Linked DNA regions of Nothobranchius furzeri. The main gene of each other region encodes a partner of the protein of the gene in region 3 in a complex. Links are inferred from orthologs where the notes say so. Each region holds a gene or a part of one and is shown on either strand. Other genes may lie near its edges. The genes, in order: ddx46, sf3a2 and sf3a3.

The links.
Region 1: sf3a3 (region 3) and ddx46 share a complex: the UniProt entries of both Homo sapiens proteins name them as parts of the 17S U2 SnRNP complex. The link is inferred for Nothobranchius furzeri from reciprocal best matches to the Homo sapiens genes SF3A3 and DDX46.
Region 2: sf3a3 (region 3) and sf3a2 share a complex: the UniProt entries of both Homo sapiens proteins name them as parts of the SF3A subcomplex of the 17S U2 SnRNP complex. The link is inferred for Nothobranchius furzeri from reciprocal best matches to the Homo sapiens genes SF3A3 and SF3A2.

Annotation. Positions count from the first base shown.
Region 1 is NC_091750.1:60,370,753-60,379,125, forward strand, and holds the start of ddx46 (probable ATP-dependent RNA helicase DDX46), read left to right. Parts: upstream 1-3,561; 5' UTR 3,562-3,701; coding exon 3,702-3,718; intron 3,719-3,890; coding exon 3,891-4,055; intron 4,056-4,377; coding exon 4,378-4,494; intron 4,495-4,743; coding exon 4,744-4,831; intron 4,832-4,924; coding exon 4,925-5,093; intron 5,094-5,268; coding exon 5,269-5,516; intron 5,517-5,697; coding exon 5,698-5,808; intron 5,809-5,888; coding exon 5,889-6,054; intron 6,055-6,178; coding exon 6,179-6,299; intron 6,300-7,746; coding exon 7,747-7,922; intron 7,923-8,042; coding exon 8,043-8,164; intron 8,165-8,265; coding exon 8,266-8,344; intron 8,345-8,373. Other genes in the region: guided entry of tail-anchored proteins factor CAMLG, read left to right, coding at 1,162-1,619, 1,764-1,829, 2,019-2,210. UniProt on the Homo sapiens protein: Component of the 17S U2 SnRNP complex of the spliceosome, a large ribonucleoprotein complex that removes introns from transcribed pre-mRNAs.
Region 2 is NC_091751.1:56,889,082-56,897,432, forward strand, and holds sf3a2 (splicing factor 3A subunit 2), read left to right. Parts: upstream 1-3,969; 5' UTR 3,970-4,058; intron 4,059-4,797; 5' UTR 4,798-4,820; coding exon 4,821-5,018; intron 5,019-5,112; coding exon 5,113-5,159; intron 5,160-5,280; coding exon 5,281-5,390; intron 5,391-5,479; coding exon 5,480-5,529; intron 5,530-5,840; coding exon 5,841-5,981; intron 5,982-6,058; coding exon 6,059-6,127; intron 6,128-6,205; coding exon 6,206-6,457; 3' UTR 6,458-6,684; downstream 6,685-8,351. Other genes in the region: plekhj1 (pleckstrin homology domain-containing family J member 1), read right to left, coding at 244-307, 931-1,021, 1,109-1,175, 1,250-1,317, 1,519-1,612. UniProt on the Homo sapiens protein: Component of the 17S U2 SnRNP complex of the spliceosome, a large ribonucleoprotein complex that removes introns from transcribed pre-mRNAs.
Region 3 is NC_091751.1:25,495,270-25,503,394, forward strand, and holds the start of sf3a3 (splicing factor 3A subunit 3), read left to right. Parts: upstream 1-2,994; 5' UTR 2,995-3,120; coding exon 3,121-3,216; intron 3,217-3,297; coding exon 3,298-3,345; intron 3,346-5,326; coding exon 5,327-5,379; intron 5,380-6,923; coding exon 6,924-7,029; intron 7,030-7,113; coding exon 7,114-7,186; intron 7,187-8,125. UniProt on the Homo sapiens protein: Component of the 17S U2 SnRNP complex of the spliceosome, a large ribonucleoprotein complex that removes introns from transcribed pre-mRNAs.

The DNA.
Region 1 (8,373 bases), on a different chromosome or scaffold from region 3:
TGGTTCCAAGGATCTGGATAACTTGCAGTAATAAAATGAACTATGAATTCTGCTCTGACCTGTAATCTCAATCCATTCATGCAGTAAAACCCTCCAATGTGGCATAATTAAATCAATTCTGCAATCAATAGTGGGATAAAATCCTTTTCACAGTGATGTGAGATACTCATTAGCAGTTATGATTATTGGTCGGAGGGACCGGTGGCGCCTGTGCTCGGCAGCCTCGCCTCTGTCAGTGAGCCCCAGGGCAGCTGTGGCTACATCGTAGCTCATCACCATCACTGTGTGAAAGTGTGTGTGAATGGATGAATGATACACTGTAGTGTAAAGCGCTTTGGAGTCCTTACTCTGAGAGGCGCTATACAAGTGCGGATCATTTATCATTTATCATTATGGCAAATGCTTTCTGCCAACAGCAGCCATTTAGGTTTGCGTATGCGTATCCCTTTTCACTTAAGATGAAACCGTAATCATTACTATTTAACTATTTTGTATTTATTCAGGATATCTTTGCTCCAAAACTGAAATTGAAATTTTTGAAGAAAAATAAATGTATAAACATACTAAATCTGTAAGGGAATCATTTTTCAAAGCACTGTAAATAACTGATCATTATATGATTGATTGGGCTGAATTAACACCTCAGCAATGATTTATAAATGATCAGGTGTTGCATCTTTTGCCTTTTTAGTGGTAAATGTTTGACCCTGGTCATACATTCTTCTTATAAGTCAGTTTCTTAAATTAGATTTTGTGCGTATGTTGAGTCCATAACGTTTATTAGTGACATGTGTCCAGACATCACCAATTGATTTGTAAGTGTTGCAACAGTAACAGCATAGGCGTCAGCAGCACAGATGTTGATGCTGTGCCTTCCTGTCATCTTTAATCAGACACAACGTCTAAATGCAAACTGCCAGGAAGCATTTTCTTGGGCTGTTCTTGATGTTTTATGAGCTCTGACATCACTCTGAATGTGATGCCAACAAATGTTTCATCATGGAAGTGACACAGGACCTGTTTAGAAAGTCTGATCCCACTCAGAGGGATTTGTGAGAATTAAGTTAGAACCAAATCTGTAAACAACAATAACATTATTTGTATCCATTTATCTGTGTGCTTGATTCATTTCTAGTTCATAAACGCTGATCTTCTCTGCAGGATCCTCCCGACGACCCACAGAACCCCGCTTTCACCTTGATCTGGACAGGACACAGCCGTGGTCTTCGTCCTCCCCTTCCCCGAGACCGCCTCCCTTCCTGCCAGAGGCTTCGATTCATGGCAGCCGCTCCCACTCTTCCACCCCAGAGAGACGAGGCTCACCCCTGCCAGACAGCAGCGAGTTGCCCGGAGCATCTCTGGAAGACGAAATGGGAGGTCTCAGGCAGCGAGCAAAGCTGGAGCGAGGAGATGATCTCAGTGGCTCCCCACGTCGGAGCCTCCAACAGTATTTATCACGCTTTGACGATGCTATGAAACTCCGGAGTCAGCTGGCCAACGATAAGCAGGCTCAAGATGGAGGTTCTGACTCGGAGGAGCTGGATCCGTTCAGAATCTTTAGACTTATTGGCAGCGTCCTCCTCGCTGTGTTTGTCAGGGTGTTTGTCTGCAAGTATCTGGTGGGTCTACCTTTAAACCAATTTCTGTGCATTGTTATTCAATTTATATCACACGATGATTAAAAATGTGTAAAATTTTACACTTTTTCCTAATATAGTAAAATGTTATTCTCCTGCTCTGGTTTGTGTTTTTTGTCATTTTAGTCAATATTTGCTCCATTTCTGACCCTTGAACTGGCCTACATGGGATTGTCCAAATACTTTCCAAAGGTGAGACTGTTTAGGATCTTGTATTTTTTTAAGTATGTAATGTTCATTATTGTAGGTTTACTGTAAATTAAATAAAAGTTAAAGGTATTTTGAAAATTTGGATAGAAATGAGTTTGTTGAACCACCAAGTTATGATTTTTACAGTGATTTTTTTTTTTTTTTGTGTGTGTGTCTTCTTTTTTTGTGCAGGTAGAGAAGAAAACCCAAACCACTGTGCTAACTGCTGCCCTGCTACTGTCTGGCATCCCCGCTGAGGTCATCAGTCGCTCCATGGACACCTACAGGAGGATGGGGGACGTCTTCTCTGACCTCTGCGTCTACTTCTTCACATTCATCATCTCTCATGAAATCGTGTTGCTCATTGCCTCAGAGGCTCCCTGATAGTAGACCCCTCACTTGCCCCTCTCTCCCTACCCCAACAAGGCATGCTCTTCAGCTCCCTCTGGTGCTTGTTTCCTGTCATTTACTAATCTGCTGCCTTATGAAGAAGGCTGCACACCACCTGGATGGGTGTTTGTAGTTTCAGCTCTTCTCTTACTGAGTACTTTTGACTCTATCAGTGTTTTAAGCTCTGTAATAAGATAATGTGCTTGAAGATCTGAGTTGTTTCACTCTGGATAATCAAATTTGGTGAAAATTTAACAAAAATGCATTTTTTTTCTCTGCTGATATCCATTTAAAACAAGGCTTGGCACCCTTTTTGAACAATAATGTGATGACATCACATACTTTATGGAGAGATGCAGATGAATAAATCTTGTTTAACTAGATTTCAGAGTAATATTTTAAGTTGTTTCTTTTAGTTCTGTGATTACGTTGATCAATCTCAAAAAGTTGATATAACATCTCATCTGAGCAGCAAAAGTACATCTAAAATCTCATTTGACCTTAAAGGAGATATGGAAACATGTTTTGCTGTCATGTATCATGTAAACTTACAAAATTTTTTATTTTTGTCATTTTTCTTATCCGTTAAAAGTCATAGTGACGAAGGAACTTGGAAGCCTTGAACATGGATTTGAAAACTGTGGATTGTTGCGTTGATATGAACTCTGTTTAACTTGAGTCATGTAAGTCATTTGTGTCTGTAAAGGGCTTTGACTCCACTTTTCTGCTTCACTCTGTTCAGCATTCAGAAAGGGTCCATCTTTGCTATTAACAAGTTTCATTGTTTAAATTAAAAAAAAAGCATTTAGTCCAGGTTTGTGTGAAATTGTATTTGAAGTAGCTTAAAAATCGCAGTGAACTTCATACATGATGAGAATATTACTGGTTCGTATTTGTAAGGTATAGTGTGAGGCGGCTGATGTTTGTGGGCTTATTTGTGTTGCGTAATCCTGGTGACGTGTCCTGCTTTTCCCTGTTTAAGCCTCTTTCATAAAATCTTTGGTACAGTTTTGCCTCTTTGCAGTCATGTATTTGCTTTGTCTTTTAATTTTATTGAAACAGTTTTAGTGTAAAACATAACTATGTTTTATCCCACTACTTGTGTAATTTATTTGATAAGTTTTGATAAATTTCGTGAAACAGTTTTTACTGGCTCTTATATTTTAAGTATTTTTGGTGTGATGTAAACTGTAATACCAAATAAAACACTTCGTGTGACATTATTGTTATTATTAATAATTACTAGTTTTACTGTAGCTCCATGGAATTCAAAACCAAATTCTAAGCTTTTGATCCAGTTTTTTTAGATAATTCTCTGACCTCCTACCGCGTGGGGGCGCTCTTCTTTTAATAGGTTCATATCTGACTCGCAGATTTTACACACGCAGGTTCAATGACACAAACCCAACAAGTTTGTCTCTCCGTGCTTGTGTCTATCTCTTAAATAATCGGACTTTTTACCAAACCAAATCTTGCAGACTCGAAATGGGACGAGAATCGAGGTATGTCCAAGTTTTCGGTTTAATTTCGACTCAAATCTCTTACTGACTGTTTTGTTTTTGAATGGCTAGCATTAGCATACCAGCTAAAGCGGATCTTTTTGGATGTTTTCGTGCAGATGTGGTGTAATTTTCACTTGAAAAACAGCATTTGTTTAATTTTATTGATCTACAGACATTACAGGAAACGTTCGGCGTCTCGTGGACGGTCGGGAACCCGATCGAAGAGTCGGTCCCCGGAGAAACGCTCCAAGAAAGACGACCGAGACCGAAACAGGAGAGACAGATCACGTAGCCGAGACCGCCGAAGATCACGATCCAGAGACAGAAAAAGAGCCAGGTGTGTGCTGGTTAGCTGTATGATGTCAGCTAAGATAGAAAAATAAGGCTGAGACACAAATAAAAACACATTTCTAAATAACTGTTTATGTGAACATAAAAATACCACTTACTTTACTTATAGGCTAACAAAGTCAGGAGATCTTTGTGCTTCTAATGAGTTTGATATGATATATTTGTTCTATTTAAGCCTACTGATAAAATGAATTTAAATCACTTTAAAGAAAATAAATCAATGACTATGTTCATGAAGTCATCACGTGGTTAGGGTTTTGCCATTTTTCTGTTTTAATTGTTTGCACATTTGATTCTTTGGTGTTCAGGCGTTCCAGGAGCAGAGACAGGAGGAGGACCAGAAGCCGTGACAGAAAGAGGTCCCGAAGCCGAACCCGCAGGTCCCGGTCTGGTAGCCCAGCGAAGAGCAAGAAAATTGATGAGAAGTGAGTTTTTATACAAATAAATACAAACACTTGGTCATTAAGTAAACAAGTCTGTTTGAGATGACATGTGCAAATAAAAACTATTAAAGTCATGAACAGCTAACACAAATGTACATTGTGTAAATTATCCCATCTTAACTGTTCTTTATATTGTTTATGGAAACGTGTCCAAATTCTTGTTGATTTTCCAAAAATTTAGAGAAAAACTTTCATTTTCAAGCTGTTGAAGCTGATTTTCTTATTTTAAAGGTCAAAAAGCAAAGAGAAAGACAACCTTGACCCTGTGTCCGACAAGAAAAAGATCAAAGAGGAGAAAGAAGATGAAAAAGTTGAAGATGTAAGTTCTACTGATTTGTTTTTTCCTGATGTCAGGAGCTTTGAAATGTCTTTGCGCTGAAACGGTGGGCTGATGATGTTTGTGTCTCAACAGCAAGACTTTGACCAGAACAAGCTGGAGGAGGAAATGAGGAAGAGGAAGGAGCGAGTGGAGAAGTGGAGGGAAGAGCAGAGGAAGAAGGCTATTGAAAACATTGGAGAGATCAAGAAAGAACTGGAAGAAATGAAGCAGGGCAAGAAGTGGAGTCTTGAGGATGATGATGGTGAGGAAGCAACCTGGGATGTTTCGCATAGGAAAATGATGCCATGTTTAAAAAATCTGCTAAATTTATTATAGGAAATAAGTTCTATAAGTTGTAAGCAACTTTCAAAAATAAATGCAGTTATGAACTTTTACCTGATCTGTTAAAACGCAAATGCTCTAACTCTTCATTTCAGATGATGATGATGATGGTTCAGCTTTGATGGAGGTAGATGATGACGATGATGAAGAAGGGGATGCAAAGGCAGAGGGTAAAGAGAAGGATGCAATGGAGGTAAAAAAAGAGGAGGGTGAGAAGGAGACAGATGAGCCTGTGGAGCAGCAGGCTGAAGAAGACGAAGTGGATCCCCTGGATGCCTACATGGAGGAGGTCAAACAGGAAGTAAAGAAGTTCAACATAGGAGCCATGAAAGGAAACGACAAGGTGATGTCATCACTTTGTTTATTTAGAGTAGATGGTTGGAATTGCTATGTTGACTGCTTTGTGTCTAAAACCCGTACCAGACTGTATTCGTTGTCAGAGTTTCTCCCCTTTTGATTTCATTTTATCCTCTTTGTGTTTTGTCCACTGATTCTTGCTGATATGCATCATTTTTAACCTGCAGAAAGGAGCCATGATGGTAACCAAAGTGGTGACGGTTGTGAAAACCAAAAAAGGACCGCACACACACAAAAAGAAGGGGGAGTTGATGGAAAATGACCAGGATGCCATGGAGGTGCGTTTGTAAGGCATCGACTTCTTTCTTTGCTTTCCGCTGCTGACTTACCTAAATTATGGCTGATGTGTGATCAACAGTACTCCTCAGAGGAAGAGGAAGTGGACCTTCATACGGCTTTGTCAGGCTTCCAGACAAAACAGAGAAAGGTGCTGGAGCCCGTTGACCACGGGAAGATCCAGTATGAGCCGTACCGCAAAAACTTCTATGTGGAGGTGCCTGAACTGGCTAAAATTACACCAGAAGGTCGGGTAATCAGATTTTATCACAGAACTGCACATAAAATTTAGAATCAGTATTTTTTTTATTAATGCATGTTTGTACCTAAACAATCTGGCTTTTCTCCGTTTGCTTGTTTTACTTTATACAGAAGTGAACGCATACAGGTTGGAACTGGAAGGAATTACTGTCAAAGGGAAGGGTTGTCCAAAACCCATCAAGACCTGGGTGCAGTGTGGGGTGTCCATGAAGATTCTGAGCGCCATGAGGAAGTGAGTTCACAAACATTCACCTTTTGTTAGTTTTAAAGAACAGGTTCTCTGAGAAAATGTTTTGTTTTACTTATTTTTGAAATACGATCAGTCACCCTGAGTTTCATATGCAGGTTCATCATGAAAATAGTCTTCTATCCCTATTTCCTGCGTGAAGCTTGGTGTATGCTTGACGCGTCCGCGAGGTCCGGACGGCTCCCACGCGGCAAAATTGCGTCATTTTAACAACCACGCCCCTCCACCGCGCCTCCGCACGGCCTAAACTTTCCGCACCGCACACCGAGGAAATTTTCTAACCACGCAGACGGTCGGGCGCGGAAAAACATGGCAGACTGGCAAGAACTAGTATGGCAGAGGTTCGTAAATACAGACATTTGTATGATTCAGCTCTCAAAGATCACCGTGATCAACATGTTGTTAATAATTCTTGGAGAGAAATAGCTCGCACTGTCGGATAAGACGAGGACGCTGTTAAAAATGCTGGAATGCCATGTTGTAAACAGTAATTTCTACTTCTACTATGGTGTAGTGTTGGATGCATGCCTAGAGCTCCATGCTGCCCCCTACAGTTTGGGAGAATATTGGCTCACCGCAGAAACGAGCCGCATGAACCATAAACACTGCGAGTTGTGAAGCGCGTTCCATCCGCGAGCCGCATCACCAAGCGGAAAGTGAATGCGTCACGCATAAACCAAGCCTTAGCCGGAGAATGGAAACAGATGAGGAAATGCATGGATTAAAAAAAGCCACACAGATCTTCGTAAAACTATAAACTAGCAATCTTGGACTCAACCATCTTCCCACGCAACGGGGATGGTTGTTGTTGGTTTTTGACACCAGCAGAGAGCAGAGCGTGACTCAGCTAGTAGAAGCTAACTGTTAGCATTAGCAACGCCACAACATGGCAGAATTCCTTCAGGCTTGAGTTATTTGTGCAGATAAAACATCAACATTGCAAATCAAACAGGTTCAGTGCCAGAGTCACGTTGCTGTAAGCCAATCAGAGGTGAGATGTCCAAAAACCGCGAATGAGCTAGACTGCAAATCCTGCCGTTTTTCACCCAGGCATTTATTTATACTAGAGACCGCTGCAAATGTATTGAAAAAAATTTGTGGATGACAGCTTTAACCCCCAGAAACCCAAATTTAGAAAACAACTGCAAAATCTTTTTTTAACCTTTCACATGTTGTTCTAGGAGGCCAAATAAACGGGCCTATTTACACATTTTAACGGCCAATAGTGTTGCAGAACTGAACAATAGGACCTATTAGCAATGTAAATGTGGTTTTAAAAAGAAAAAAAAATGGGGAAGGTTTATTTTTGTAGACTTAAATCTGATGTTGTAATATTACAACCGTGGGTCTCTGGGGGTTAATCAGTAATATTTTAGGATGCAGTGTTTTAACTGATGTAAACATCACAGGATGTTTTCTGTTGTTCCCCCAGGCACAGCTACGAGAAGCCCACACCCATCCAGGCTCAGGCCATCCCTGCCATCATGTCAGGCCGAGACCTCATTGGCATCGCTAAGACTGGAAGTGGCAAAACCATTGCTTTCCTGTTGCCCATGTTCCGACACATCATGGATCAGAGACCGCTGGAGGAGGCAGAGGGACCCATCTGTAAGGATAATTTTATACGTCCTGTATACGTCTTTGTCAGGACTCAAAAGAATGAATGACAAATGTGTTATGATTTTGGTGCTTTAAACTGTTTGATGGCATGTTTCTGCATCTCCACAGCTGTAATCATGACTCCGACCAGAGAGTTGGCGCTGCAGATCACCAAGGAGTGCAAGAAGTTCTCCAAATCACTGGGACTCAGAGTAGTGTGTGTTTACGGAGGCACGGGAATCAGTGAACAGGTAAAAACCCTCATAATGCAGCCGTGTGATGCTTTTTCCAACATGTTGTTGTCTTTTGAGCCCTTTCACTGATACCTTCTTCTCATGCTGGTGGATTGCAGATTGCTGAGCTGAAAAGGGGAGCAGAGATCATCGTCTGCACACCGGGGAGAATGATCGACATGTTGGGAGCGAACAGCGGTGAGTTAATCCACCTCCGTATTCAGACT
Region 2 (8,351 bases), about 31 Mb from region 3:
TGTGAATATTTATATATATTGTAGTCTTATTTACTTTTTAGAATTACGCAGGAAGGCCGGCACTCCTTATGGACCAGCCACCACTGTTTACATTCATAATTTAATAAAATACATTTGAGTTCATTGCATAAATCTGTAAAAAACATTTTTGGAGTTATTGAAATTATGGATGTTTTCACATCATGACACCAATAATTAAAGGTGCAGTCTGATTTTAGCCAGACTCACTGTTATTGGACTCACCTTCCCAGTGAGGCGGTGGATTTCAGTTCGAAAGAATATAAGATTCCTCCTCATAAACTCATAACTGCAAGAGTATAGACAAGATACATTAAACAGTTTTTTTGGTTTAAGAACCAATATTATATAATAAGTTCACAGACGACTGTTGATCCTAACTTAAAATACGTGTAAAACAACAGTGTGAACATCTAACTGTATTTTACTCTGTACACTTGAGGTCAGATAAGTCTGGACTGATCTTAAAGAGCAAGTCACTCCCAAATCAACTTATTTTTTCTGATAAACTAAATGTGCGTTTAATTGTGCTGCAGACACGTGTAGTCAATAGTTTAGCACTTTATTTAAAATTTTAATTTTCTGCCTAAAACTGTCAGTGTTGTGCCATTGTCAGGTAAAAACTCAGCACTGCATTTGAATTTAAATCTGCCATCCCTATTGGCTAAGAGGTACCTTAAAACGTTAGCTGGTACCATATGATGTCACAATGTCGTTGTGAGCCTGTGTGTGTGTGCGTGTGCGTGTGTGTGTGGATTTGTTAGTGGCCCCGCCCTCTCAGTCTGCTAGGCAACAGCATTTGTTGCATTTGACCAAACAGGAAGTGGGAGTGGAGTAATACTTTGGTAGGGGGTGACTTGCTCTTTAAACAGCAGATCACAGCAAAAAGGAAAATTAAAAAGTCTGTTTTACCTTGCTTTAATAATAGAGTCTATCCACTCCTTACATTGCTCCTCGGAGTTGCACTCAAACACGTATTTTTTCTCAGTTTCATCTAGAAATGCTACAGAGAGACAAACACAACATTAACAAAATGTCACCGCCAATCAGCCTGTAAGAAATCAACACAGAAAGGGAGTCTGGGGCTCACTAATAGAGAAGGTCTGACTGTCCTCTTTCTCCACCCGGCACTGCTCCAACAACAAGGCTCCAATTGGCTGAAAAATAAACACTGAACTCATTAAAATGTTACAGCTCATCATCAGGGACAGAGAAAAAAAACTCATCTAACCTCCTCCTCATCTGTCCGGAAGTAAAAAAGGAAGTTAACTACGAGTTTCACCAGCCGCCTCTTGACAACTGAAAACACACACGCACGCGCGTACACGTACACACACAGAGAGAGAGAGAGAGAGAGAGAGAGAGAGAGAGAGAGAGAGAGAGAGAGAGAGAGAGAGAGAGAGAGAGAGAGAGAGAGAGAGAGATGATCAGTTTCACCGATATGACCCAAAATAACACCAAGCGGAAGTGAAAAGTGACGGAGAAAGTAACAGGTCTTACCGTCTCCTTTCTTCGGACCTCGCATTCCCATTTCAGCGGCCATCTCTGAAGGCTGGCGGCTCAGAGAGACCAGCTCCCTCTCGTTGAAACGCATCGCGTAAAATGGGAGGGGGGACACCTTTGCTAGTCTCTACGACCAAAACATTTCAAATAGAGTTAAAATAATAATATAAATGCAGTAGTTTCGTTGTTTATCATGTCGACTTATTCTGATTCTTTATCCGATGTCCTGAAAACGTGATGGAGAGTGTTTGGTTATTTCCAGGGTGAAGTAAAGTCAAGTGAACGGCATCTGCTAAACAAACAGGAAACGCTGATCGGTTCTTCTTCTAGTGGAGAGTTTAACGGTGCTTGTTAAACCAAATAGAAATACGCTTTCGCCACCTAGTGGGCTAACGCTTAAATGGCTCGTAAGAGCGAGGAGTTGCATGATGTCTGGATAGATAACTTTATAAACGTTCACTGATTAATATTAAAACTTTATGTTCCTCAAATACATTAAATATATGTTTGAGTGCTTCTGACTGAACAATAAACATTTACTCATTACTTGAGGTAGTTTTTGTCCCGTGCCCTGCAACTACAAAATAATTTTTCTAGTTTTTCCTATTGTTTTATAAACATTGAATTATAAATTACTTTATTTTCTTACAGGACTTACTATTTTCTTTTGTTAAACCGTGGCACATATAGCAAAATATTTCCTGAAGTATTTTAAAATGAAAATAATTATTACATTTTAGAAAAAAATCAAACATCACTCTGTTCAGGTTATGTTCTTCTTTTTCTTAACTGAAAAGTACTACTATGCCACGACAAAACGTTGCAGTATAAAAATTGATTCGCAAAATAATATTGCAAGACTTAAAATGAAGCACATTGATTTAAAAATCCATGATTGGGAGAAAAGAGTATTGAAAAGATTCCTTGTTAAATTAAATAACTGGAATAACACCAAATGTTGAACTGGTTGGTTTTATGCCTGTTTAAACTGCTGATACTAGCTCATCAAATTCAAAGCTCGTGCTCCATGAGAGCTAAGTGTAGTGAAAAATGGGTTTAGCAAAATTGACAAAGCAAAAGCATCCATCTGTTTTCTTCTGCTTATATGGAGTCAGCTTGTGGGGGCAGCAGCCTAAGCTAAGAGGCCCTCCCCAGGTTGGGCCAGCTCCTCCAGGGGAATCCCAAGGCGTTCCCTTGCCATTCGTGTGACATAGTCCCTCCAACATGTCCTGGGTCTTCTTTAGGTCTCCTCCAGGTTGGACATGCTCAGAAAACCTCACCATGGAGGCATCTAGGAGGCATCCTAATCAGATGCCTGAGCCACCTCAACTGGCTCCTCTACACCGAGCCCCTCCGGATGACTGAACTTCTCACCCTATCTCTAAGTGAGAGCCCAGAAACCCTGCAGAGAAAACTAATTTTGGCTTCTTGTATCTGCAATCTCGTTCTTTTGGTCACTACCCAAAGCTCATGACTAAAGGTGAGGGTAGGAACATAGATCGGCCGGTAAATCGAGAGCTTCGCCTTCTGGCTCAGCTCTCTCTTCACTACGACAGATCGGTACAACGTCCGCATTACTGCAGACACGATCTCATCCCACCTGTAAATCTCACTCGCCATCTTTCCCTCACTCGTGAACAAGACCCTGAGATGTATAAACTCCTCCACTTGGGGCAGGATCTCATCCCTGGACCCAGAGAAGGCATTCTACCCTTTTCTGACTCAGGACCATAGTCTCGGATTTAGAGGAGCTGATGCTCATCCCAGCTGCTTCACATTCGTTTGTGAACTGCTCCAGTGAGAGACGGAGATCACGTTCTGATGAAGCCATCAGGACCATGTCATCTGCAAAAAGCAGAGACCCCATCCTTAGGCCACCAAAATGAATGCCTTCAACACTTTGGCTGTGCCTCGAAATTCTCCATAAAAGTTATGAATAGAATTGGTGACAAAGGGCAGCCTTGGCAGAGTCAACCTCTCACCGGAAACGAACCCGGCCTACTGCTGGCAATGCGGACCAAGCACTGACACCAGTCATATAGGGACCTTACAGCCCCTATCAGAGGGCCTGGTACCCCATACTCCCAAAGTACCCCCACAGGGTCCCCCGAGAGATGCGGTCCAACACCTTGTCTAAATCTACAATTAGTTTAAATCCAGACCCTAAAAGTGAAAGCAACAAAATCAATAAAAGTTGGGAAACAAAACCATAGCAAAAGAAATAATACAAACAATTGATCCAAAATTAAAGAGAACATATTAAATAAATAAACAAAAATGCAAATGTTTCATATCGTTTTTTTAATTTATTTTTCACATTTTAAATGTAGCCCTTTACTCCTAAATAAACTAATCTCTTAGGTCTTTATTATATGCTTTTATCCGCAAACGTTTGTTCGTCGGTCAGTTTTACTCCTGACCACTAGATGGCAATGAATGTTTGAAACTATTTATGAACTGCTTAAGCTGAGAACCAACACGCATGCGCAAAACAATTCTGTCCATCACAGTTTGTCGTTAGATTTGTTTGGGAGAACGTAAGTTTATTTATAATATTTAGCTAGTATTTTGTTGTGCAGTTCGCTGAGCAGTAACGCTAAAACATTGATTAGGCTATATTTAATTTCATTCTGATAGTTTGTTCATTTTGGTAGGTTTAAAACTATCCTTGCATATATGGTAGCACTGTTAGCATTGTCAGAACGACGTCCATCGATGCTAAATGCTAACAGTAAAATGTGCGCGAAAGGATAGTTCAATATAGGGATTTTCTAGTTATGTTATTAAAAATTAAGACGTTTCAACCTAGAATCATGACAAATTGATAAATTGATGAAAGGGGTGTCGGGAAGAAAGTCTTTATGATTTGAGTTATAGATTTAACACATACACGCATACATACATATACAGTCCTGACTAATGTTCACTATTAATACTACATTTAAGGAACTGTGCCGCTCAGATATTCATTCTGGCTGCTGTAACACATAGCGTTACCATTTTATCAGCAATTATATGAAAGTTGTTGAATTTATATTTATGATAGTGTTACTACGTGCATACTGCTTTGTACAGTACTTATAGTTGTGAATGTTTTCTACATTTGAAATAGCATATGTTTCTCAGTTTTATAGGGATGGTAAAAATAAAACACCAGGGGTTCAGTTTTAACTGAACTGGCTTTTTCTGTTTTTTGTTTTGTGTTTATTTGAAGAAATACACGATACATTATGTTTGGTCTGTCCCTTTGATGCTATATGTTTATGTTGTCTTTAGACTGAGTTCATCACTTCAAAAAAATGGATTTCCAGCATCGAGCTGGAGGGAAGACTGGAAGTGGAGGGGTGGCGTCTGCCTCTGAGAGTAACCGGGACAGGCGTGAACGGTTACGTCAGCTGGCTCTAGAGACCATCGACATCAACAAGGACCCCTATTTTATGAAGAATCATTTAGGTTCTTATGAATGCAAACTTTGTTTGACACTTCACAACAATGAGGTGAGGAGGCACTTAACGGATTGGATTGGGCTATGTTAGAATTTTTGATATTTGGGAATTGTGTTTCTAAAGAAAACCCTCTACTTGATTTTAGGGCAGCTACTTGGCTCACACACAGGGAAAGAAGCATCAGACCAATTTGTAAGTCAACCTAAAACATTCTCTAACACAATTAATTGCTACTAGTTCAATATTTGTCAGTAAACATTTTCCTGTATAATTTTTTCTTTCTGAGTTAAATCTTTTCTATTTGGTGTTTTAGAGCACGAAGAGCAGCCAAAGAGGCAAAAGAAGCGCCGGCTCAACCAGCTCCAGCAAAGGTTAAAGTTGAGGTCAAGAAGTTTGTCAAAATCGGTCGACCAGGATACAAAGGTACACTGGCTGCATGGTTCTATATTAGATCAACATTATTTGGCTTTTTGTAACAACTTTTGATCCTCGTCTTTCTCTTTTTTTCACAGTGACAAAACAGAGGGACCCAGAGACTGGTCAGCAGTCTTTACTTTTTCAGGTGAAAATAAAAAATATATTTTAATTCTGGAAAAATCCTGCTGTGTTTCTGGGAATCTGAGACACTTGATAATAGGCTTTATGCTTTATTGTTCGTGTGAAACCAAAGTTAAATGCCATCATATGTTTAGCTCCACTTTAATTATTTTCCAGCCCAATATAACAGTTTTGCTCCCATTGTATGACCCCATTGTGGACACCACTTGAAGATGCGTTGCAGATACAAAACAAACTCCTATAGTTCCTATCAGGGCAATAATAACCAGATGTTACAACATCTGACAAGTTGTTTTTATTTCCCATATTAATCAGATCGACTATCCAGAGGTTGCTGAAGGAATTGGACCCAGGCACCGTTTCATGTCTGCTTATGAGCAGCGTATCGAGCCTCCTGACCGTCGCTGGCAGTACCTGCTGTTTGCTGCTGAACCATATGAAACTATTTCCTTTAAGGTGGATGAAAACTGTAATTTTTGTCATTGTGCTCATGTGTCACATTTCCGTAACATTAAAATGTTTGCTCCTTTAAGGTCCCCAGCAGGGAAATTGATAAAGCAGAAAACCGCTTCTGGACTCACTGGAACAGGGAAACTAAACAGGTACTGACTCTGCTTTGTTTTTACTAAAAAACTAATTTAAAAAATTTTCTAATGTATGAATGTTTTGTTTTCGTTCAGTTTTTCCTGCAGTTCCACTTTAAAATGGAGAAAGCCATTTCTGGTGGTCCAGCTCCTCCTGGCAACTTAAAGCACCCCGCTTCACTTATGAGTGGCCACCCATCAAACGACGGTCTTCCACCTCCACCACCAGGAGGGATGTCTGTTCCTCCTCTGCCACCCGGGGCACCAGGTCCCCCCCAAATGCCCCCACAAATGCCCATGCCCCCCATGCCAATGAGGCCACCTCCCCCAGAGGGCCTTATGCAGTGATAATTTGCTGTTAGAAATTGCATTGGTGGTCAGTTGTTCTGCTCTGCCTGTTTTGTATTTTTAGGATGTTGGATATCTTCAGTAGATTTTCATAACTTTGTTTGCCTAAAAATAAAATTCTAAAGCTAAATGTTATGGAAACATTATCGTCCTCTTGTAAACTAATATCTGGACACATTTTTATTTCTTATGTCCATTTTTTAATTAAAATACACAAATACTGAAAATACCTGAGTGTTTGTTCTACAAAAAATACAGAGAATTATCTGAAGTTTACTCTGATCAGGTTAAAATAAAACAAATCAACAAAATTGATTTTTCTGTATTTAAATTGATCTTCAACACTGCCTAAATCAGTTTGAATTATATTTTAACAGCAGTTTTCATTTTGGTATCAATTATTCAGACTATGTATTCAGTGTATGTACTCATAAAATCTTTTTAAAATAAAATGTTTTAATTTTATGAACTTCTGCTGAACACACAGATGTTTTATTTTTTTGTGACCCAAGTTTCCAGGGGTGACCATGACCCCAATTGGAAACCTTTTGAGGACTGTTGGTAATCACAAACTATGGATTAGAGAACATTCTCAAAAAAATTTGATGTGCTCCACGCCAAATATCATTCAAGAGTTTCTTTGTCCTGTGTCTGTGGACACTCCAGTCTGCTGCAATGAAGACCTCTGAAGATATCCATCAGCATTGCTTTCTCTGGCAGAAGACTTTCGAAGATGCTCCATGGCATTGCAAAAGTGTTCGCCTTACCCTTCGCTGCCACTGGCCCAGTTTGGAGCCTTTGTTTGGGCATTTCACCTCGGAGATGTGACAAACTGAATTTATGTTTATGTATTTAGCAGAATTTGTATAATGTTTCATACAATCTATTTGTAAGAATCGTTAATCACGATTTTTGTAGCTCATGTTTGCAGTAGATTTTCTGCCTTACACGAGTAACCAACGGGGGGCGCTCTAGAGTCGTTTACAGCATTTGCCCCATTTAATCACAAGTGGGGGATGAAATTATGTTTCTAGTTAGGCACATCTATTTAACAATATGCGCACAGTTTAACCTGACTACGTTTTTTTTTATTCTGACAGCGTCCGTACCTCATATTTTGTCAATATATTTTGACATGTTCTGATATATTTTTTGTAAAGGAGGCTGACCTATATAATTGTAAAATACCAGACAATTAACGAATATTAGCCTGCGTGGCTTATCATTTCAAGGCCTGGGTGCGGTTTACACATCGCACCAGCCACGCCTTTTCCTGTCACAACGGAACAGTCGTTCGTAAAGACGGCGGGTCAGCTGACAGGCATCAGCGGACCGGGGGAAGGAAGAAGCGGAATTTGCGGCTGTGAGCAGGGATTCTGTTGGACATAAAATACACCCAAAGGCTAGCCTGGAAGCCAAAGAGTGGTGGTGTTCGTGAAAGAACAAGAGTAAGTTAACGAAACGGAGATTCAGTCATGTATTTTTGCAGTAAAAACGATTTACTGTGATCTGTAAACCGCCAGAGAAAACAGGTGAGCGCTCTCTTTCGTTGACGACGCTAACATTAGCAACTCCTCAGCTAACCGCGGCTAGTTAACGTCAAGCTAGCCGCGGTTAGCTTGATGATAACGGAAAGCATGCTTTAAGATTCCTTCAAAGCTTAAAACGTGCCATCACATAACATTTTGATGCTGTTTTAGTTGGTTTGTTATGTAATTCATATCGTTTACACGTAAGTCACTGTAACTTGCTGTAACACACGCGATAACCTCAGTTTTTCTACCCACCGGAAGCCCGTTAAAAATCCGCTCGGCTCGCTGAGGATCGTCGGCAGCTAGCCTGCTAAATTAGCTAGCCATCGCTGTCTTCAGGGTATTCTCCATCACTTTGATCA
Region 3 (8,125 bases):
GGAGTGTTAGCATAGACCCACCACCACTATTCCCCGTAGAGTCCCCACCCACCACAGTTATTGAGGATTCAACATTTTTGTTTACGAGCAGCGAGGACACGATGGAGAGACTATTTTTCTAGTCTGGCCTGGGAATACCTTAGAATTCCCCTGGAGGAGCTGATCCCGGAGGCTGGAGAGAGGGAAGTCTGGGCCTCTGTGCTTAGGCTGCTGTCCCTGTGGCCCGACCCCGGATAGGCGTAAGAATATGTATGTTTATATATATGGATGGACGGGCAAGTGAGCCAGTGGACGAATGGGAGGATGGATGGGTGAGTGAGTGAGTGAGTGAGTGAGTGAGTGAGTGAGTGAGTGAGTGAGTGAGTGAGTGAGTGAGTGAGTGAGTGAGTGAGTGAGTGAGTGAGTGGACGAATGGATGAATGGGAGGATGGATGAGTGAGTGAGTGAGTGAGTGAGTGAGTGAGTGAGTGAGTGAGTGAGTGAGTGAGTGAGTGAGTGGATGGATGAGTGGATGGATGGGTGGATGGATGAGTGGATGGAAGGATGGTTGAATGAATGGGTGGATTGATGGATGAGTGAGTGGATGATGGTTGAATGGATGGGTGGATTGATGGATGAGTGAATGGATGGGTGGAATGATGGATGAGTGAATGGATGGATGGATGGATGAGTGAGTGAATGGAGGATGGATGGATGAGTGAGTGAATGGAGGATGGATGGAAGGATGGATTAGTAAATGGATGGTTGAATGGATGGGTGGATTGATGGATGGTTGGATGTATGGATGGATGAGTGAGTGAATGGAGGATGGGTGGGTGGATGGATGGATTAGTGGATGAATGGATGTTGGCCTTTTCAGCTCCAAATGCGCTCTACAAAAAGAATCTAAGTTGTCTTGCTAGGGTGGCTTAGATCTTTTGGGGTGTACAGGACTCCTTTAAGGACCTTCTATGACACTGTGGTAGTGTCTGCTACCTTTGATGCTGTGGTCTGCTGTGGGGGAATGGCAGACAGGAACAGCGGAAAACTTGATGCCAAACAAGTCGTCGCCATCTTAGTTGTTCCACTCCATCGCAACATCCTGCCACCAAACCAACAGAGTGCTGTAATTGGCATTAAACAACACTGATCAGGCCAGTGGAAAACCTGCTGAGGTTCCAGTGGAGCGTGGCTGGACCTACATTCAATTCAATTCAAAAATACTTTATTAATCCCAGAGGGAAATGGATTGACATGCAGAGCAAAATCATTTTAGCTTCGGCTAACACCTGTCAAGATTTCTCTGCTAACTGTTTTTAGCTCTTGTAATGATTATAGAAAAAACTAGAGTAATGTTTAATCAAGTACACCCAAGTGTTTGTCGCACAGAGAGGTCCTAACCCAAACTTTGGGAGCCACAGCTCTGGATTAGTGGTTTGCATGAAGTGAATAAATAAATAAGTGCAGCTGCCTTTGAGACAGAGATGAACTTCAGACTCTAGCTTACATTTAAATGTGACTGACAGAAGCACACCTCACAGACCCAAACACAACAGCTGGCCTGTGTGCTGCTGCTGCTTAATTGTCCTTTCAAATATGTGTTCAGACTTTAACCACTGATGGTCTGATCCAGGTGTCAGCATGTTGTTTATTGGTTAGAAGTTAAAATAGGTTTCGGAATCATTGATGTGGATCTCCGGTTCTAATCTGTGATGTTTCATCAGTCTGCTGCTCCTGGTTTGTGAAAGAACTCTATTGTAGCGTGGTGAGCTACTCCGGGCTGAGGAAACTTTCTGATGTTTTTAAAAACCCTCAACACCTCGGAGAAGTGGGTTTAAATGTTCGGAGAGTTCGGGGGAGCCCACGGGCTCGTTCCGACCCGGTCCGCTCCGCCTGTTTTGTTGGATAAATGAAGAGTTAGCATCAAGCATGTAGATGTCGGAAGATGCTGCAGCTAACCAGGAGCAGCCCTCTGGTAGCGGGTCTGCCACTGACCTCTGCCAGGTCTGCCCCAGTAGCACAAAGACAGAATGGATACCCCCCACCCCCCCACACCTCGTCTCCACAACGACAACGACCGCCCCCCCCCTTCCGCAGATAACGCCTCAGCGCCTCAAATCCATTACAGCAAGCGAGTGTTGTCACCGTGGAAAACTGGCTGCTCACCTTCCTGAACAGGCTGGACGCACCGCGGCGGAGAAAACGGTTCCCAAAGTCCCTGTAGTCCACAAAACCCAAACACTGGCTGCCCGGTGCTTTGACTTGCTGCTGCTGGAGAACGTACCGAAGCCAGAACGCCACTGTCAAGGCAGCGACTGTTACTGTGGAGTTTCCGGTGTTGACTGCCAAAATAAAAGCTCTGGCGGTAATTATAAAGATAAAAAGGAATATATATATATATATATATATATATATATATATATATATATATATATATATATATATATATATATATATATATATATATATATGACATGGGATCAGACCTCTGAGAATCATAAAAATGTTGGATATCATTTCTACTTTAGTTTTATCACATCCTGTCACATTACTATACACAGCTCTGACAGTGGAATGCATCGTAAATTGTTGTATTACATTTGAGAATGATTTATCATTTGCACCTAAGAAACAAGTTATAAGCGCCAACACTTCCGGTCTGTGGTAAGTGCGCTCCACCGCGTGTGCGCTGGGATAGTGTGTGTGTCCTGATTTTGCAGGCTTTGATGAGATGTGATTAGAAATAGCTCACAATAAAATAACCTCAAACAGCTCACGTGAACGAAAATTTCTATTTTGATCCATAAAACCGTCCGCAGTCGAATTATTCACAAACTCTCACGTCTGGATCGGTCTGGATGGACAGCAAATAATAATTTTAAAACTTTCATAAAATTCTAATAATATAAAAATAAAATATATGCTAATTTGTCCACTTGTAGGAATCCCGTACTGTCACCGTTATGGACGTTTGTGTGACCACAGCGGAACTAATAATTGGGAAATGTTTTCCTAGCCGTACTGAAGCGGACAGTAACTCCTGAACAGACGCCTTTGGTCAACGTACCATACTGCGCTGTGCTAACGCTTCAGCAGCAACCCTGAACAGTCTTCATTAAACTCTTGAGCATTTTGTAAACGATGGAGTCGATTTTGGAACAACAGCGTCGCTACCACGAAGAGAAAGAGAGGCTGATGGACGCAAAAACTAAAGAAATGTTGCACAAAAAGACCACGGTAAGCAGCGCAGCTTTTAGCATTAGCATGTTGCTAACACCAACGCAATGTTCACGTATTTGTTTTCGACTCTTGTTTCAGCTGCGGGATCAAATTAATTGTGATCATCGAATAAGAGCCATGTTGGATGTAAGTATGAAATGCTGCTCTTCCACCAGTGAGCTAAATGTTGTTTGGTGGTGTAGTTTTTTCCGTCGTGTTAAGTAATAGAGTCAATAACAATCATTGTGCTTAAGATCTGAATTTTATGAATCATTGCAATCGATGTTGTTCTGATTTGTTAAATGTAATATAGAAGTTATATCAGAAAATAAAGCTTATTTGTTGTTGGGTAAAGTTGCTTTTATTTTTATTGAGTTACCTGTAATGCTTGGTTCCTGCCTTGGTCGTCATTCACTTTTAGTGTAACTTTGGTGAATTTTCACCATCCATCCATCCATCGTCTGAACCCGCTTGGCCACGTAGGGTCGCGGGGGGGGGGGGACTGGTGCCCATCTCCAGCGGTCAATGGGCAATCAGGCGGGGTACACCCTGGACAGAGTGCCAGCCCATCGCAGGGGACTTTCACTGAATTTTCACTAATAGTATCCAAACGTTTAGAGAAGTAAATCAAAACCTCAGGTTGATCACTGCTGCTCTTTTAATCTGAAGTTCTCCTCATTAAAATGCAGTGAAACCAGAGGGCTTTACTGACACATCCAGACTTCATACACAAAACCCAACAGGTGGTACAGAGGGAGGATTGATCCTGCCAACGCTTACATTAAATTAAGAAAGGGCAAAAAAAAAAAGTAATTCAATAAATGAGGAAATACAATTGAAGATAACACACTTGGAGTTAAATGAATACAATTATTAATTTCCACATCTATTTTTTTAATACATTTCTTCATTTATATTCCTCACACTTCCTGTGGTATATGGTGATGAGGTGAATTAAAGTTAAAGTCCCACTAGTTGTCACACTGATGTGTGACATTGTTCTCTGCATTTGACCCACCCCCGGCAGTCCTCCAAAGGTTGTTGGAGACACGGCAGCACTCGGGAGCTATTTGGTGGTTTAACCCCCGATCCAACCCTTTAAAGCTTAGTGCCAAGCAAGGAGGCATTGGTTCCTGTTTTTCGAATCTTAGGTGTGACTCGACCGTGGATTTGAATCCCGATATCCCAGTCCCAGGGCAGACACTCATACTAATAGCCCACCTAATAATTGCATCATGTATTTCTATATGTACTTTCAATTTTATAACCAGTTATTGTCAATTTTGGTGGGATCAGACCTCCATAGGTTGATTTTTAAAATGTTTTAAATAATTTTAAGAATCACATTTAAACATGATCCTGAATGAAAGCGTATGTCGTGGTTGAATAAAATACTTGATCAGCTCAGTGCAGTGTGCTGGTTGCTTCTAAAGGTAATGTGCTTTATTTAACAATCTGATGTTTATTTAGATCTTCTCAGATCTAACAGAACTATGATGACATCTGAATCAGTCTGATATTTCTACCTGGAGATTCTAAGAAGCAGAATTTGTCAACTGATCTCACACACAGCTTAACCCAAAGTCTTAGATCCGGAGGGCATTATGCACATAGGGGTTGGGGTGCTCGGAGCGCCCCAACCCCTATGTGCGTAATGCCCTCCTCCCCTTTTCATCTAATGATCGTGGTTAAAAGGAAATCCTCCAGAATGCTGCAGAATCTGTGTCTGCTTTTTTTTTCCTGAGCGGTAAGTCTTGTGTGAGTGCATGCTTGCATGCACGCGCGAGTGTGCCTGCGCTAGTTAACAACTCGTTTTTAGATTGAGAAACTCCGACAGCACACGCGGAGGGGTTGAGGGGGGTGCGGTCTACCACTGCCTCAGTGCCGCTCTCCCGGTTCGCCAGGTGACGCCTCTTTCAGAAGCGTTTTTCTAACAGGAAATGTGGATGAAATGCGTCTCCAACCAGGCATTGACCCTCACTTTAAATAGTATTCTAGAGCTAGGTGTTGTCAAGCTATGTGTTACCATGGTAATTTAGAGCCAAGTCTATTACCATGATGATCTAACAGTGAGTCAGTGTTGGCTAGTTTAATGTCATCTGTTGTCATGTTCTGTGTCTCCTCACAGAGGTATATGGAAGTGAGTGCAAATCTCAGGGACTCTTATGAAGACAAAGATGGGTACGTTTTAATTTTTTTAAATATATTCAATGTACTTTTTTTTTTTGCTTGTTAGAGTTAAGCTGTTGTCTCTTTCTGTTACCCATTGTTTACTCAGGTTTGTTTTCCTGACAGTAAAAAAAATCTAAATATATAATTACATTTTTATTCTGGCCTATCAGAAGCGTTGGTATCCCATTCCACGGCTTTTGTTGCTACTTCTTTTATTAAATATATTAAATATTAAAGTCCAATGGCTCTATTTATAAAACTTTGTTTGGATCCTTTACTAAAAAAATTTACTTGCAGAAATAAAAAATTGGACCCATAAAACACTGCGTACATATAGCTGTACACAATTCCTGCTTTATCTAACTCTACCTAGAAATGTGTTCAGGTGATTTTGGATCACATCCCGCCTCCCGCACACCCACTGCTACCATTATGGTCAGTGCAAATCACTTCATCAATATTCTGGATATACATAAGCCAGCCAACCTGTGGATTTTCATGTGGAAACCATGGCAACAGCGAAAAACGCCTGTTTCACTGAGCTTGAAATCGAGGTGCTTGTGGGTGAGGTAGGGCATGGAAAATCTTTTTATTGTCTTTGAGTGGTACAGCGTTTGGTATGGCGGCGGATTCTGTCAGAGTGATGAGAGATCTGTGGTGAATATAAAAAGAAAAAAAACATTCAAAAGAAGTGGTCAGATGGAGGCAAAGAGGAAGATGGCATTTAAATGCTATCATTTAATGATACCATCTAAACGACTTCCTTATGATGCTGAGATATTTCTGATGTAAGGGAAACATTAAAACTCATTCATAAGTTACATTGAGAATATGTCAGTCTGTGATATTAATTTATGATTTTATTATGGCGAGTGCATAAAGCCCAGCGAACCATCGTTTTGCGTATACAAAGAGCACTCGCTACTGCTTTATGGAAGAAACACTGCCTTGCCAGAATTTGAATTTTTTAGACGTTCATTTAATTAGAATTTTAATTCTGTGAAATCGTGTACTTGAATTTATTTACTTGTTTACTTAAATTACACCAGCAAAATTTTAATCTGTTAAACATCAATTGCAGAATTTCATCTTCAAAAATTCAACAACAGGATTTCAACAGCAAAAATTCAACATCAACTGACGTAACCAAGCCAAAGTAAACATCACTCCATTGAGTCGACATCTAACTGGTGTCACATGATCAGAGAAGTCTAATATGCTTGGCTAAAAGCCTCTTGAATCTATTAATCGATGGTCGCTTTGGCTTGGTTTACCAAGAGGTCACCTCAGTTGTTGAATTTTTATGGATGAAATCTTTGCTGATGTATTTTAAATTTTAAAAAATTCAAATAACACATAATAAAAATTCTTTTTCATAAATTCTATGTCTAAAAAAAGTCATTCTGATGAGATTGTATTTCTTCCATACAACATTTCCTTCTTTTTTCCATATCAGATCTGATAAAGGCGAGGCGTTGGATTGGTGTTTTATGTTTACTTGTGTTTAAGTGTTGAAAACACCTGAATAAAAAATGGAAATTGCTCCCATCCAGCATGAGAAAGGACGAGCTTGGTGCCATCTCTGGACCAAATGAGTTTGCAGAGTTCTACAACAGACTAAAGCAGATAAAGGAGTTCCACCGAAAGCACCCAAATGAAGTAAGAGACATCGTGAGCAGTCAGATTAGATTGTATAGTGTACCTGAAGCAGTCTCACTGCTGTTTGTCTCATATTTTCTGTAGATTTCCATCCCCATGTCTGCAGAATTTGAAGAGTTGATGAAGGCCAAAGAAAATCTCAGCGAGGAGGCTCAGAGTAAGTTCGACGAGGTTTGCCATTCATCCATGTTTAATGGATAAGAGTGGGTGTCACAATTCCCCTGAGCTAGATTTCAAGGTGGTGCTGCCATGTGGGTCTCTCTAAGCACTCCTGACCTGTCCATTTGTTTCTTTCAGTGTTTGGTTTTAGGAATTATGCCTGAAACAATCCACTAAATTCGCATAGGAAACACACACACACATGGCTGATGACTGGAGCAGTTACAGCTCTACTCCAAGCCCCTCCTAGATTCACAGGAGTGAGCCTCACCTCACACCTCACCTTCCTCCGCTTATCCGGGGTCAGGGTTGCTGGGGCAGCATCCCAAGTAGGGCCCCCCAGGCAGTCCTCTCTCTGGCCACGTCCGCCAGCTCTTCAGCTGGGACACCCAGGCATTCTCTGGCCAACCTAGAGATGTATTTCCTCCAGGTAGTCCTGGGTCAACCCAGGGGCCTCCTGCCGGCAGGACATGCCCAAACACCTCCCGAGGGAGGCGTCAAGGAGGCATCCTGACCACATGCCCGAACCACCTCAACTGGCTCCTTTCGATGCGGAGGAGCCAGTTGAGCTGCGGCTCCACTCAGAGTCCCTCCCGGATGTCTGAGTTTCTTAGCCCAGACCTTTTCCGATCGAGAACCATGGTTTCAGATTTGGAGGTACTGATCCTCATCCCAGCTGCATCACACTCGGCTGCGAACCTCCCCAGCAAGAGCTGTAGGTCCGAGCTTGATGAAGCTAGGAGGACCACATCCGCAAAAAGCAGGGATGAGATTCTCCTGCCACCAAACTCCACACCCTCAACACCACGGCTGCACCTAGAAATCCTGTTCATAAATGTTATGAACAGGACTAGTGACAAAGGGCAGTCCTGGCGGAGTCCATCCCCGGTCTGCCGCTCCACAGGAACTGCCCCTGATGACCACGCAATGTTTCAGA